Caenorhabditis elegans: one gene and its partner. The protein of the gene in region 1 interacts with the protein of each later gene in a pairwise test. Each region holds a gene or a part of one and is shown in the gene's direction. Other genes may lie near its edges.

The links.
Region 2: the proteins of nhr-142 (region 1) and ceh-31 interact in a two-hybrid assay, tested with the Caenorhabditis elegans proteins (one large-scale study listed by BioGRID).

What each region holds. Positions count from the first base shown.
Region 1 is NC_003283.11:5,785,337-5,792,630, reverse strand, and holds nhr-142 (Nuclear Hormone Receptor family), read left to right. Parts: upstream 1-2,077; 5' UTR 2,078-2,564; coding exon 2,565-2,609; exon of another isoform or gene 2,610-2,685; intron 2,686-3,175; coding exon 3,176-3,250; intron 3,251-3,889; coding exon 3,890-3,993; intron 3,994-4,038; coding exon 4,039-4,172; intron 4,173-4,548; coding exon 4,549-4,733; intron 4,734-4,782; coding exon 4,783-4,890; intron 4,891-4,941; coding exon 4,942-5,154; intron 5,155-6,004; coding exon 6,005-6,218; intron 6,219-6,268; coding exon 6,269-6,420; intron 6,421-6,469; coding exon 6,470-6,565; 3' UTR 6,566-6,674; downstream 6,675-7,294. Other genes in the region: ZC250.2 (N-acetylgalactosaminide beta-1,3-galactosyltransferase), read right to left, coding at 151-300; F44E7.9 (Rab5-interacting protein), read right to left, coding at 655-894, 1,224-1,301, 1,349-1,396; F44E7.7 (Major facilitator superfamily (MFS) profile domain-containing protein), read left to right, coding at 7,171-7,268.
Region 2 is NC_003284.9:3,067,994-3,072,297, reverse strand, and holds ceh-31 (Homeobox protein ceh-31), read left to right. Parts: upstream 1-1,875; 5' UTR 1,876-1,990; coding exon 1,991-2,156; intron 2,157-2,413; coding exon 2,414-2,684; intron 2,685-2,741; exon of another isoform or gene 2,742-3,024; intron 3,025-3,078; coding exon 3,079-3,424; 3' UTR 3,425-3,650; downstream 3,651-4,304.

The sequences.
Region 1 (7,294 bases):
GATGAGCAGTACGCATTCTCGGAATTTTGTGTTCCCGTAATATAAATCTTCTGTTCAGTAAACTGTTTTCCGATTGAAATTCGCTGAACGGGCGCTATTTAGTTTGATAAGCCTCTTTGTTAAAAGACAGATTTTTCTAAGAATTCAAACCTTTAATATTTCACAATCTGCTAAAATTTGCTTCCTCCTTTCCATTACTCTTTGTTCAGTAAGTTTGTATCTAGATCCAACTAATAAAACCGTCAAATTCTCCGTATCACATAGTGACAACAATATAGATAAGATGATTAATAGTTGCATCTAAAAATTACTTGTTTCATAGTTTTACTATAAATCAACTCGAGATAAGTTCATAATTTGGTAGCGTCCATTTCAGTCAGTACAACAATTAATTCTAGAGATTCAATTCAAAGTGATTCATATATTTGAACGGAAGGCAATTGGGGTTTGATATTTAACTATTTAAAGATAAACAATTCGCAAAAAAACATCACAGAACAAAAATAAAATAATTTTAAAATTAAATATTTGGAATAACAAGGGAAGAACGGCACACGAACATGTTTAAGTTGTAACTTTGATTGCTTTTGGCTCAAAACTGTCGAGGTAAACTAAACAAAATTCAATAAATACTAATATATATTTCCAAGGTCTCTACACTTGTGTCGAGTACGTGTAGGTTGTGATCCACGTAACCATGAAGGTAGCGAAAGCAGCACCGAATCCTTCTTTCGACAATTCCCAGAATCCTCCGACTTCTTCTTCGTCCACTCGTTGGAATTTTGTAACAAAGTGGTGAGCAATGACGGAAGACGTTCCAACGTAGCAGACTAAAACGAGGACTCCGGTTAGTGAGGTAATTCCGAAGATGAAGCCCAGCAGCAGGGAGATAACCTGGAAAGAAACAATGAAAAATGCTAACTGATTGTTAGATTTTTTAAAAGAATAATTTTATCAAAGCTTTTTGAATTATCGATTTTTTGAATGATATTCTCAATTTCTGAAATTGGTTACTCTATTTCCACCTTTCTTAAAAGAAATCCAACTTATTCGAAGAAACTTCCGAAATTTATGTGAAAAATTTGTTTTTGAAATATTCAACCAAGAAACAACCCATTTTGTAAACACTTCAACGCATAATTGAAGTGTTTTGAGTGAAATTATATAAATTATTGGAAGTTTTTTTTATTTCTTTTGCAGTTTTAAATTTTTTAATATCTCACCTGTTTTCCCCAGTAAACAACATCCAATAATTCGTCTTTGTCTGGCCATTCAGAGCGAGGTGTGAGTCCTTTGGCAAGCTAAACATTATCGATATTTGAAACATATTAGTTTTAATTTAATTTACCGTCTCGGTCCACGTGGGTTCCAGTGGTGCAGACGATTTGGACGACATTATACCTGAAAATAAAAAATAAAGTAATTTTTGAAACAATAATTGAGAAAAATTAAAAGAAAATAAAGCAATTCCAATAAGAAATAAGAAGCTGCGTTCCAAAAAGTGTTCACAAAAAAGACGAGAAATGCGCCAGCTCCCGCAAAACACGCCAGAAACCGCCTTGACGCAAAACGCGTCATGGACTCACCACTGATTTACGAGATACGAATCGAGGAGACGCAACTTGGAGACACATGAACTGTGGAAACAGGTTTCCGAGCATTTTTTTTCCCTATGAGTGTAATAATAATTAGTATAGTTAGGTGAGAAAATCTCTATTCTAATCTGAAAAATTGGAAATAACGGTTAGTAATGTAATTAAATTGAAATTAATTTTTTATGTTCCAGATTAAAATAGAGTTTTTCTTACCAAATCACACTAAAGCTTCAGCTAAAGGGACGGAAAAAAATTCCAGCTAAAATTTTCCCAACGTTGCTTGTTCCCCCATATCGCGTTTCCTCATTCAGTGGTGCCTCACTACGTGTGGCTTGTAGGCAATGTGTCAAAACTGCTATGTTCGTGGTTTGTAGTCAGAAGTACAAAAATCAATTCTACGGAAGTTTTCAATAAGAGAGAGAGAGAGAGAGACACTATAGGAATAAAACAGAAAAGATGAAATCAGTCAGAACGACACATGAATAGTCTAAAACCGTTGTATATGATATTCCAATATTTTCTGCCTTCTAACACCTCTTGTCGTTTCCCATTTGAAAGTCCAAGTATTCGCATAGAAAATAAGGTGTGGTTTTGTATCCGCATAGAAGGCACACATATCCACTTCCTAAACGAATTCGTTATGAATTTCTCCATAGTGTCTCGATAGGTACCCAAGCCCTGTCAATATTTGTTCTCAATTTTGCTTTCACCGTTTTCTCACTCCAACTCGCACAGACACAATCTGATAACAAAAATAAAACCAATGTGTTTAAAGAAACCGTGACATATTCTGTGATTTGATATATCATTTCAATCGTTCAAGACCTCATAAGATTCTATTCATTATTCCATACGGAAAGGTTGGCAAAAAATCAAAATTCCCGCCCATTCCTACATTTTATCGGTGGTTCATGCCCTCTAGGCAGTCAGTTGATTGTTTCGGTTTCAAGAGGTCAGAAGCCTAGTCTCATGGAAGTTCCTGAGCTCATTGATGATTCGTCAATTCAAAGAAAGGTTAATTCTTTTGGCTTTTTAGGCTTTTAAGGCTTTTGTGTAGTCTGTAAATTGTACGGATAAATTGTAGTTTGTTTTTAATTTACTACATACATTTGCAAAAAAATTTCTGACTTTTGAATTGGATACATGTATTTTTATACAGAAAATTCCCTTGATATAATTGTACATAAAATTAAGCTCGGGATTTCTGGCCAACTCGGCGAGCTTTCGCTCAGGTTTCGGTTGAAAATTTATAATGGCAAAGCTCGGGCAAACGTTGGGCAAGACTTGGGCAAGTCTGAGCCCAATTTTTGCCCAATTCTTGCCAAACTTCTCTTGTACCGCTTTCAATTTTTGTAAGATTTTGGCAAGAGTCTCATTTAACGTAAACGTAGCCTTGATCCAAATAAAGTCTTGCCCAAACTTTGCAAATTTCTCTACCAATTTGATAATTTTTAGACCACGCTGATGGGTAGCTTACTTTATAAAATTTCAGCGAATTGATCAGTTTCTACCACATTTGAATTCAATATATTTGTTTCTTGCAACCTACTTTCTACTTTTAGTCAATTCCAAATTTTCAGGAAACACAATCACCAATGGAAATCGGAATGTCTCCACCGGCTTTTATAGAGCAATCCCGAATGAGTGTAGATCAGGTAGGAATTGTTACAAAATGTTTCATCATTTGATATTTCATTATGACGATACACTTTTATTTATCAAGTTGACAATAGGTTGGAATTGATAAAATCTAGGATCACCTAGTTTTTTTTCGATTTCGTGAACTAAACACATTCTAGTTGTCATAGGTTATGTGATTTCTTATCAATGAATTAATCCCATAAGGATCTAGCGTCTTATGAGTCACAAAAACTATGTTTCCATTACGAAAAGCAGCACTATTATCAAAATACCGTATCCAAGTTTATCTTACAATTGTGATTTACCGATAAACATCAAAAATCTAGATCTGTCACAAACTCTATAAAATCTATGGCCGCTACAACACATTTAGATTTGAAATTGGAGATTTTTAATATTCTAAAGTAAGATCTACTTTAAAATATGATTGCTTGTCTCTAGTCTTATTTCTTTAACTACATCGAAGCACGTAAATGATCACAAACTCCATGGCCGAACACACAATTTCTGTTCCCAAACGCACACACTAAATCTCTTTCACCCCTGCGCATCTTCCTCTTCGCCACTCTCTCAGGTCATGAAACACAGAGAAATGGGCACACAACACAATTGAAGTCACAAAAGTGAATATCATTTGATGAGAAATGTTGCAGCCGTCGTCATCTTCATCTGATTCCGAATGCCGAGTTTGCGCACACACGGCACACGGTGTCCACTTTGGAGTTTTGTCTTGCAGGGCTTGTGCTGCGTTTTTCAGGTAGGGTACATGTTTTGGACACTCAAAAAATAACACAGTTTTCAGACGCTCTGTTGTCATGGACAAAAAATACTCGTGCAGAAAAGCAAGTCAAGGATGTCGAATTGACAAGTCAGAGAGGTATCTGTGCAGATTGTGCAGGTACAAAAAGTGCCTACAACTCGGGATGACCGCAGATAGTGAGTACAAAAAAATAGTTTCACCATTTCCTTTCTAGGTATATACATTCAAATCAAAATTAGCCTGACCCCACTAACTACTGTAGAACTTTGTGTTTAGCATTTGTAAGTTTTGGACAAAAATACTAGAAAATAAAATCATTCTACAAATTATACTTATTTTGTTTCTAGTGGTACCTAAAATATTTTCTTAATTGAATTGGCATTTCACAAGATCATATTTAACAGAAGTCTCGAATATACATAATTCCAAACATTTATTAGCAGTTAATAATGTTGTAAAATTTCAATAGTTTCACAAAATGTTCTCCCTGAATTCACGAGTTATATTTTTTGAGGATCATGTTTCTTTACAACCACAACAATTATGTTTCAGATGTTCAATGGAATCGTGATATGATTTCATCAACTGATAGAAAACGTCAAAGTGAAGAAGACGATGCAACTGACGTTGATGCATATTCAGATTGGAGTCCTGGATCCAAAAAGTCTTGTTTAGATGCTCCACCACTTTATGATTTGTCAAGAACTTTGAATAAAATACACAAGACTTTTATGGAGGTTTGTGCTGTGACCCGTATATTTATTCCGTAAAATTCCACGTTTACAGTTCAAAATACCAGTTGATGATCCGGTTTACCAGTCGACCAGCACTTTAGGAAAAATGGATTGGGCTTTGAGACGTCATCGGAAGAATAAAAAGATGCAAAACTTCCGAGTAAGTACATAATACATATTGAAGACTATAGTGTAGTTCAAATATAACCAGATCATAAACACTATACGACTGGACCAATTGGTTGATATGTGGGGAATGGAAATGACCAAACAAGCAGAATTTATGATGCATTCTGAAGAATTTCGAGAATTGAGTTTGGAAGAAAAGTTTTCGATTTTCAAATTAGTTTGGCAAGTGTCACAGAGATTCGAGAAGCTGACAATGTCACTGGAAATTTTTGGAAAAAGGGCGATAGAGGAGAAAGTGAGTAATTTCTTTTTTTTTTCTTGAAAAGTTTTTTTCTTAGAAAGTAATGCGTGATCTCACTTGAAATCATAAAATATCTACGAAAGAAACGAAGAAAAACAAATAAATGAGATTCGGCATTACTGTTGAACTTTTGATATGATTTGGAAATATTTTTCCAATCATTAACAACGACTTCAATTGGAAAAAACCATCAGGTTTAGAAAAAATATGATTTCAAGAAAATAACGTAAAAATTAGTAGGTTCGACCATATCGTATTAAATCTACCAATATTTATATAATTTCAAAATAAAACACTTTTGTTTTGCAGAAAATAGTTTATATGGACCATAAAAGGAGAATAAAAGGCTTTAATCATAATTTCTATTTTTGATATTTTCCAGTAGTCATTACATCTTTAAAAAAATCCTCTTCAAAAATGTTAACTTTATAAAAATATTTTATCAAACTTTTAATTGAAAATTTTAGAAAATATTGAGGAAGTCAGTTATGCCATGAAATGTTGAAAAATTTTGGAAAGCTCGAAAAAATGTTCTATTGAAACAATTTAACTTCTTTGCTATTTATACAATTTTTGTTTAAAAAATATAACTTCTGGAGAAAAAAAATCAGAAAAAAACTTCTTTTTTTTTTTTGGAGCATTCGCAGTTTACATGAGTAGTTTGTGGGTTTAAATTTTTGTGTAACTTGAGGTTTCTCAAAAACTAATAATTTTGTTTTTACAAAATGAAATTTTTTAAAAATGTGGCAACTGCCAAAACTTTGTCTGAAACCTTTCAAAAATCTGTTGGACTAATATGACAGCATTTATACGAAATCTCCACACCAATATCAAATTTTTGTAGATTCTCATCACCTCAAATTCGACTGCAATTCGAATGGAAGATGTTGAAATTGATCTTTCCAAGATAACCGACTACACTTCCCTCGAGCTCCGAAAAATGTTCCAACATGTGTGCTCACAAATGTATGAAGAAGTCGCTCGTCCACTTATGGAGCTTGATCCATCCACAATTGAAATTAGTTACATGTTGTGTCAAATCATATGGCATATTGCTGGTGGGCACTTCCCCTTTCAATGAGCTCTCCCAATAATTCTAAAATTTCAGGAAAAACTCTTCAAGGTGATATTCTTGATGCGGGAGAGAAATTCATTGGGAAAATAGCCGACGATCTTCATCAATATTATTTGAAAGAGTACAAAATGTCAAACTATGCTGGTAGACTTATCAAACTGATGACTGTTGTGAATAGTTTACAGGTGAAATTTCGTGGCCATTGTCCACCAAACTGACGATTTAATGTTTCAGAGAATTCATTTGGATCGCCTGAAAATCATGGAATTGGCTAAGATTTTCGAAGTTTTCAAGGTCAAAGTGACCGATCCATGCGTCTTCCAGGACTAATTTTGATTTATTTCTCTTTTCCATGTTCTCATTTTTGGTTCATTCTTCATATTATTCTAAAATCTGGTAAATAATTTGTCAATGCTCAAATACATATTTTTGTTACGAACTAGGTTTTGGATGTAGAAAGGCAAAAAAGAAAAACAAAAAACTAGTCTTCGCCAGCTATTTCAAGCTTCGCCAGATTCACCAACTGGCTACTTGTGGCTTGATGCTTTCGAGATTGGTTGGCCGTGTGCAATACTGTTCCCATCTACTATTTATTTAATACGTTTATTTGAACGTGAAAATAAGAGAAAAAATAGGAAAAAGTAAAAATTATATTGAATAGCTATAAAATTATATTGAATAGCCTAATTATATTGAATAGGTACATAAACTATTTTTAGAAAACACGGATTAAGCGAAATTCTGGGAATGATAAATAATAATTCAAAAATATTGTTTCACATGATTTTTGATAGTATTTCTACTCTTGCCTCCGCCACATTTTCAAAAAGGACAAGTTTGATGTTTTGATCAATGATGTTATATGTGATTATGCAAATGAACAACCATAAACTCTACTTGTCAAAGGAACTGAACATTCTTGTTGTAATACAACTATGACAGTGATAACTATTGAATCAGGATTCCCAGATGTTCGGCACATATCTAGTTTTGTGTTCTTTCACAAAACTCGATACTTGATTATGATACTTTCGTAGGTTTAAATATTTTTCGTACAAC
Region 2 (4,304 bases), on another chromosome or scaffold:
GATTTTACTACTGGAACTCACTCTTATCTTGAGTTGTTGTTACAATACATTTTTTTAGAATTGAAAAAAAGCTCTGTAGTTTACATTTTTGATAATTTTTTTTGACCCATTAGTCATTCCAACACAAAAATGAAAACCCGTAGTGTATTCGATTAGTAAATTTTCCAGATGACTGTGTTCGGTACCCTTAATAACAGTTCACCATATAGCGGTTCCTCTTTTCCTCATAAAACCCCGGTAATGGGCCTACAGCTGTCCGTCAAAGAGAATGCAGATATTATTGTTGCTCATCGACCGTTTGTGACCGGAAATATTGCTTATTAGTTAGTGGGAAAGAGGGAAAACGATGGGACAGCATAAAATTAGATTTGTACGTTTAAGTTAACGTTTTACGGAGGTGGCCGCCAAACATAAACAGCCGGAAAACTAGAGAGGTAATACGGCAGGAAATTAAGTATTAGTAAGTTGTTAGACGTTGATAACAAACAATAGATTCGCGTTGTTCATGAATCGGTTGTGAAAAATATAACGATTGTTGACATTGTTCACTTTGCAAATATATTTTTCAGAATGATAACGATGTTTCAACATGATATTTTATTGAAAACTTTTTGAACAAATTTTCAAGCAAACATAAAGGGTCTGAAAATTTTTTACAACTATAAATATTAGTTTATAATTTTTAAAATATTTCAATATGTAAAACAAAGTTTTTTTGCTCATAATAGTCTATAAAAGAGGAACCCAGACTATTGCAAACTCGGCTACCGAAAAATACAAATTTAAACTCTAATTAAGTATAAATGCTCAAGAAATTAAAAGCTCGGAAAACGTTTACATTTTTTTAGTTCCTATAAAGCTCAAAATAAATAAAAAATTTACTTACTTAGCATTTTATTATAATTTTTAGTGTTTTGAGAATCTGATTTTTGCGGATCTGGGATTAAAAAAATTAGGTACCAGTTTAGTACACCTGGTCCAAAAATATTAAACCCCTTTTTGCCGATAATAGGCTTAAGGTTAAAGTATTTCAAAGTCTAAAAATGCAAATCTATTTCATGGTTTGAATAAATTATTATGTTTCAAAAGAAATGCATGGAAAATGTACTGGAAAATGTTTTTGTGTTAGGTATACTACACAAGTACCAAAAGATGTTACCAGTTAATCTGAACTGTACGTGTGAAGCAAGTTTAAGATCACAGCCAGGAAAATCTAAATGCAAAATGAACTATCAAAAGTAGTCACTGTTACTGAACTTTTCAGATAGTGTTTTCCATTGTGCTGATTTCAAATCAGTGATGTATCAAATATTAAAACACACACAATGTACCTATTAGACCTCATCATCTTTTAGTCAGAAAGCTGAAACATCATTCGGGCTGAAACTCATTTTTAGCTTTAGTCGCTAGTTTTTGCACGCCGAAGCAGCATGCTATTTTTGATTTTTTCTGCGGTTTTACACTAGCATAGCTAGTTATATTGAATTCTATTCAGTGCTTTTTTATCTGAAAATCATTGCTCGTTTGGATCATGTTGCATTGCGTTGTTACTCTGCTTTTAGGAAAAGCCTAGTGTGCATAGTTTGCATTCGGCAGTTTCGGGATTTGTCTGAATTGTTTTCTTCTCACCTGAATGCCTCATTTCCGAAACTTTTGCTTTTCGTCTTTTCCTCGAAGCTGCTCGTTTTCAGCTTCATCGTCCCCCATTATCACACTTGATTGGCTTCAAAAAGGTGGATTGCACGGACCACACTTCTCAATACAAAACCGCGTGGTGTCATCCATTCTATTCCCTTCTTCGACACGCCCCGCCTTCCACTTCGCATGGGCGTGACTAGACCAATCAACGAGTTTGCGACGTTTAGTGACTGCAGGCAACAGGACCCTTCCAACCCACTCATTCACACTAAACTACTGTCTAAAAGTCATTCAATTTGACTATTACAAAACTTATTGTATTGTTACATCATCTGATAAGGTTATCATAACAATGTCAATGTTGGATCTCCGTCAGTTTCTGATTCCTGCATTCTTTCTAGACCCCACCAACCAACTTGCTGCTCAGAGTTCTTCCGGTGGCGCGAAGATAAACTTAAACAGCTCTTTTCGCATTTCTGATCTGCTTGATCCAACTTCACACTCAACCAACGAACCAGGTAATCCATTTTGCCACCATTTTCCTAAAGTTATTGCATTTATTGTATGTTCGTTCAACCATCTCTAACACTTTAATCTACATAGACTTCCATGAGAATGTTGAATGTACAACTAACCTGAAAAATGATATTTAACGGATTAACGCTCCAGTAGTCACATGGACGGTAATCTGTAATAGTAATAGGTCAACCAATTATGATCCTTTGTTCTCCTCTTACCTATACAAACAGTTTTCTTTATTTATTTGTTATTGTAGATCCATCTCCTACCTCCATTAATTCCTCGGAATCGCCATCATCCCCTAGAATTGGGAGCCCGAATACCGAAAGATCTGTGAACGAGAGTCCGACATGCGTGGGATCAAAAAAGGCTCGGAAGGCGAGAACTATCTTCACCGACAAACAACTTCAAGAGCTAGAAAACACCTTTGAGAAGCAGAAGTACTTGTCTGTTCAAGATAGGATGGAGCTGGCTCATCGAATGGGGCTAACAGATACTCAAGTAAAGACATGGTATCAAAATAGAAGGTTGGTCGGCTATATTCCTTAATTAGGCAAACTTTTTTTCTTTTCTCGAAAAACAACAACGTGTGGCTCTTTGCGCCAGCAGTTGGGCGAGAATTGAGTCTAAACACGCCACTTTGTGTTAATTGTAGTGCATTAGCGAGAAGCTTCACCCCCATCGAAATTTATCTTAATCAAAGCTCTCACCCCTCCTCAATTTCTTTGCGTGCGCCCACCAATTTTATTTAGTAGTGTCATCTTTTTTCCGCGCCCTCCCCCACTCCTTTCAACCACCCCACGGGAAACGGCTCCACTGTCATTATCCAATTTTTGAGATTGGAGCTGCTACCCTGGGAGGCGCAAAAAATTTGAGAAAAAAAGTGCTTGAAATGAAAAAAAATGTTCACGGTACTTTCAGAACCAAATGGAAACGACAAGCCTCTGTTGGTATGGATCTTCTTCACGATGCTGGAAATATGGCCGCCGTTCAACAACTTCTAAGAACAAATCCATATTGGGCAAACTACTTATCACAGAACACTTCAATGTTTGGAGCTTCTAATAATCGCCCTGTATTCAATTCATTAGTCGTCCCAACTTCTTCAATGATTCCTGCTAGCAACTCTCAAAATTCTCTACTGCAATTTCTAGCATCGCAAAACGTAAAAGATGATATCAGTTCCCCAAAAGAATCACCATCAGTATCTCCTGATTCTGTAAAAAATGCATCTGTTTCTAAAAAAGAATCAGATGAGGATGAATAATACCTTTCCACCTTGAAGATTGTTTTTTTTTCGCTTAGAGTATTTATCCGGTTTTCATCACGCAAAATGTCAAATTCTCAATTTCTATTGTTTTTCTCTTCTATTTTTCCTGCTGAGCCACTTTAATTTTGCCCTCATTCTCAAAATCCGATCTCTTAATTTCTTCTGTAATGTTTCACTTTCAATGTCTTGGTTATTATAAAATAATAAAATGCAATACAGTCAACGGACGCTGGAGTGTTTTCGCTCAAGTAACAGAACATTGCGAATCATTCCAAATGACAAAATTACGGTAGCGATTTCCTCACACCAAGTGCGTCAATTAGCCTTCTCATTAATAGACAATTTTGGGGGGAAGCAAAAAGTCGTCCCGCTTCCTCTCCACCTCAAACACTCTACGTTACTCGTCAAAGTGGAGGCCTTCCAACTTTCATAGCTGAGTAGATTTTCCGTAACACCTTTACAGTTGAAGATCGTCTGCCTAGGAGTCGAATAATTCGTCAATTATAGCGACACCTTTTTCGAACAATGATGCCACCCAATTTGAGAAAGGAGGTTAGAGACGCGTCCTGTACAGTTTGTCAAAACCTCAACCTTCTTTTCATTCGTCTTGTTCAATTGTTTAGCAAGATGACAATTGTCGAAGGAGACCGCAGCCGTGTATTATTGCAATTGAGTCGACTTGTTAACGAATTATTGTTCAATCATGTCATCGTTTCAGGGGTCGTTGCGAGAATGATTTATTGAACTGGTCTTCGTATTGGAATGTCAAACATTTCCTGTAAACTCATGTAACTCAACTTATTCACCATTTGACATGAACTCGTAAACTCATGTAATGTTATTGAATGGAAATTGGGAAGAATTCATCGGGGAAAAA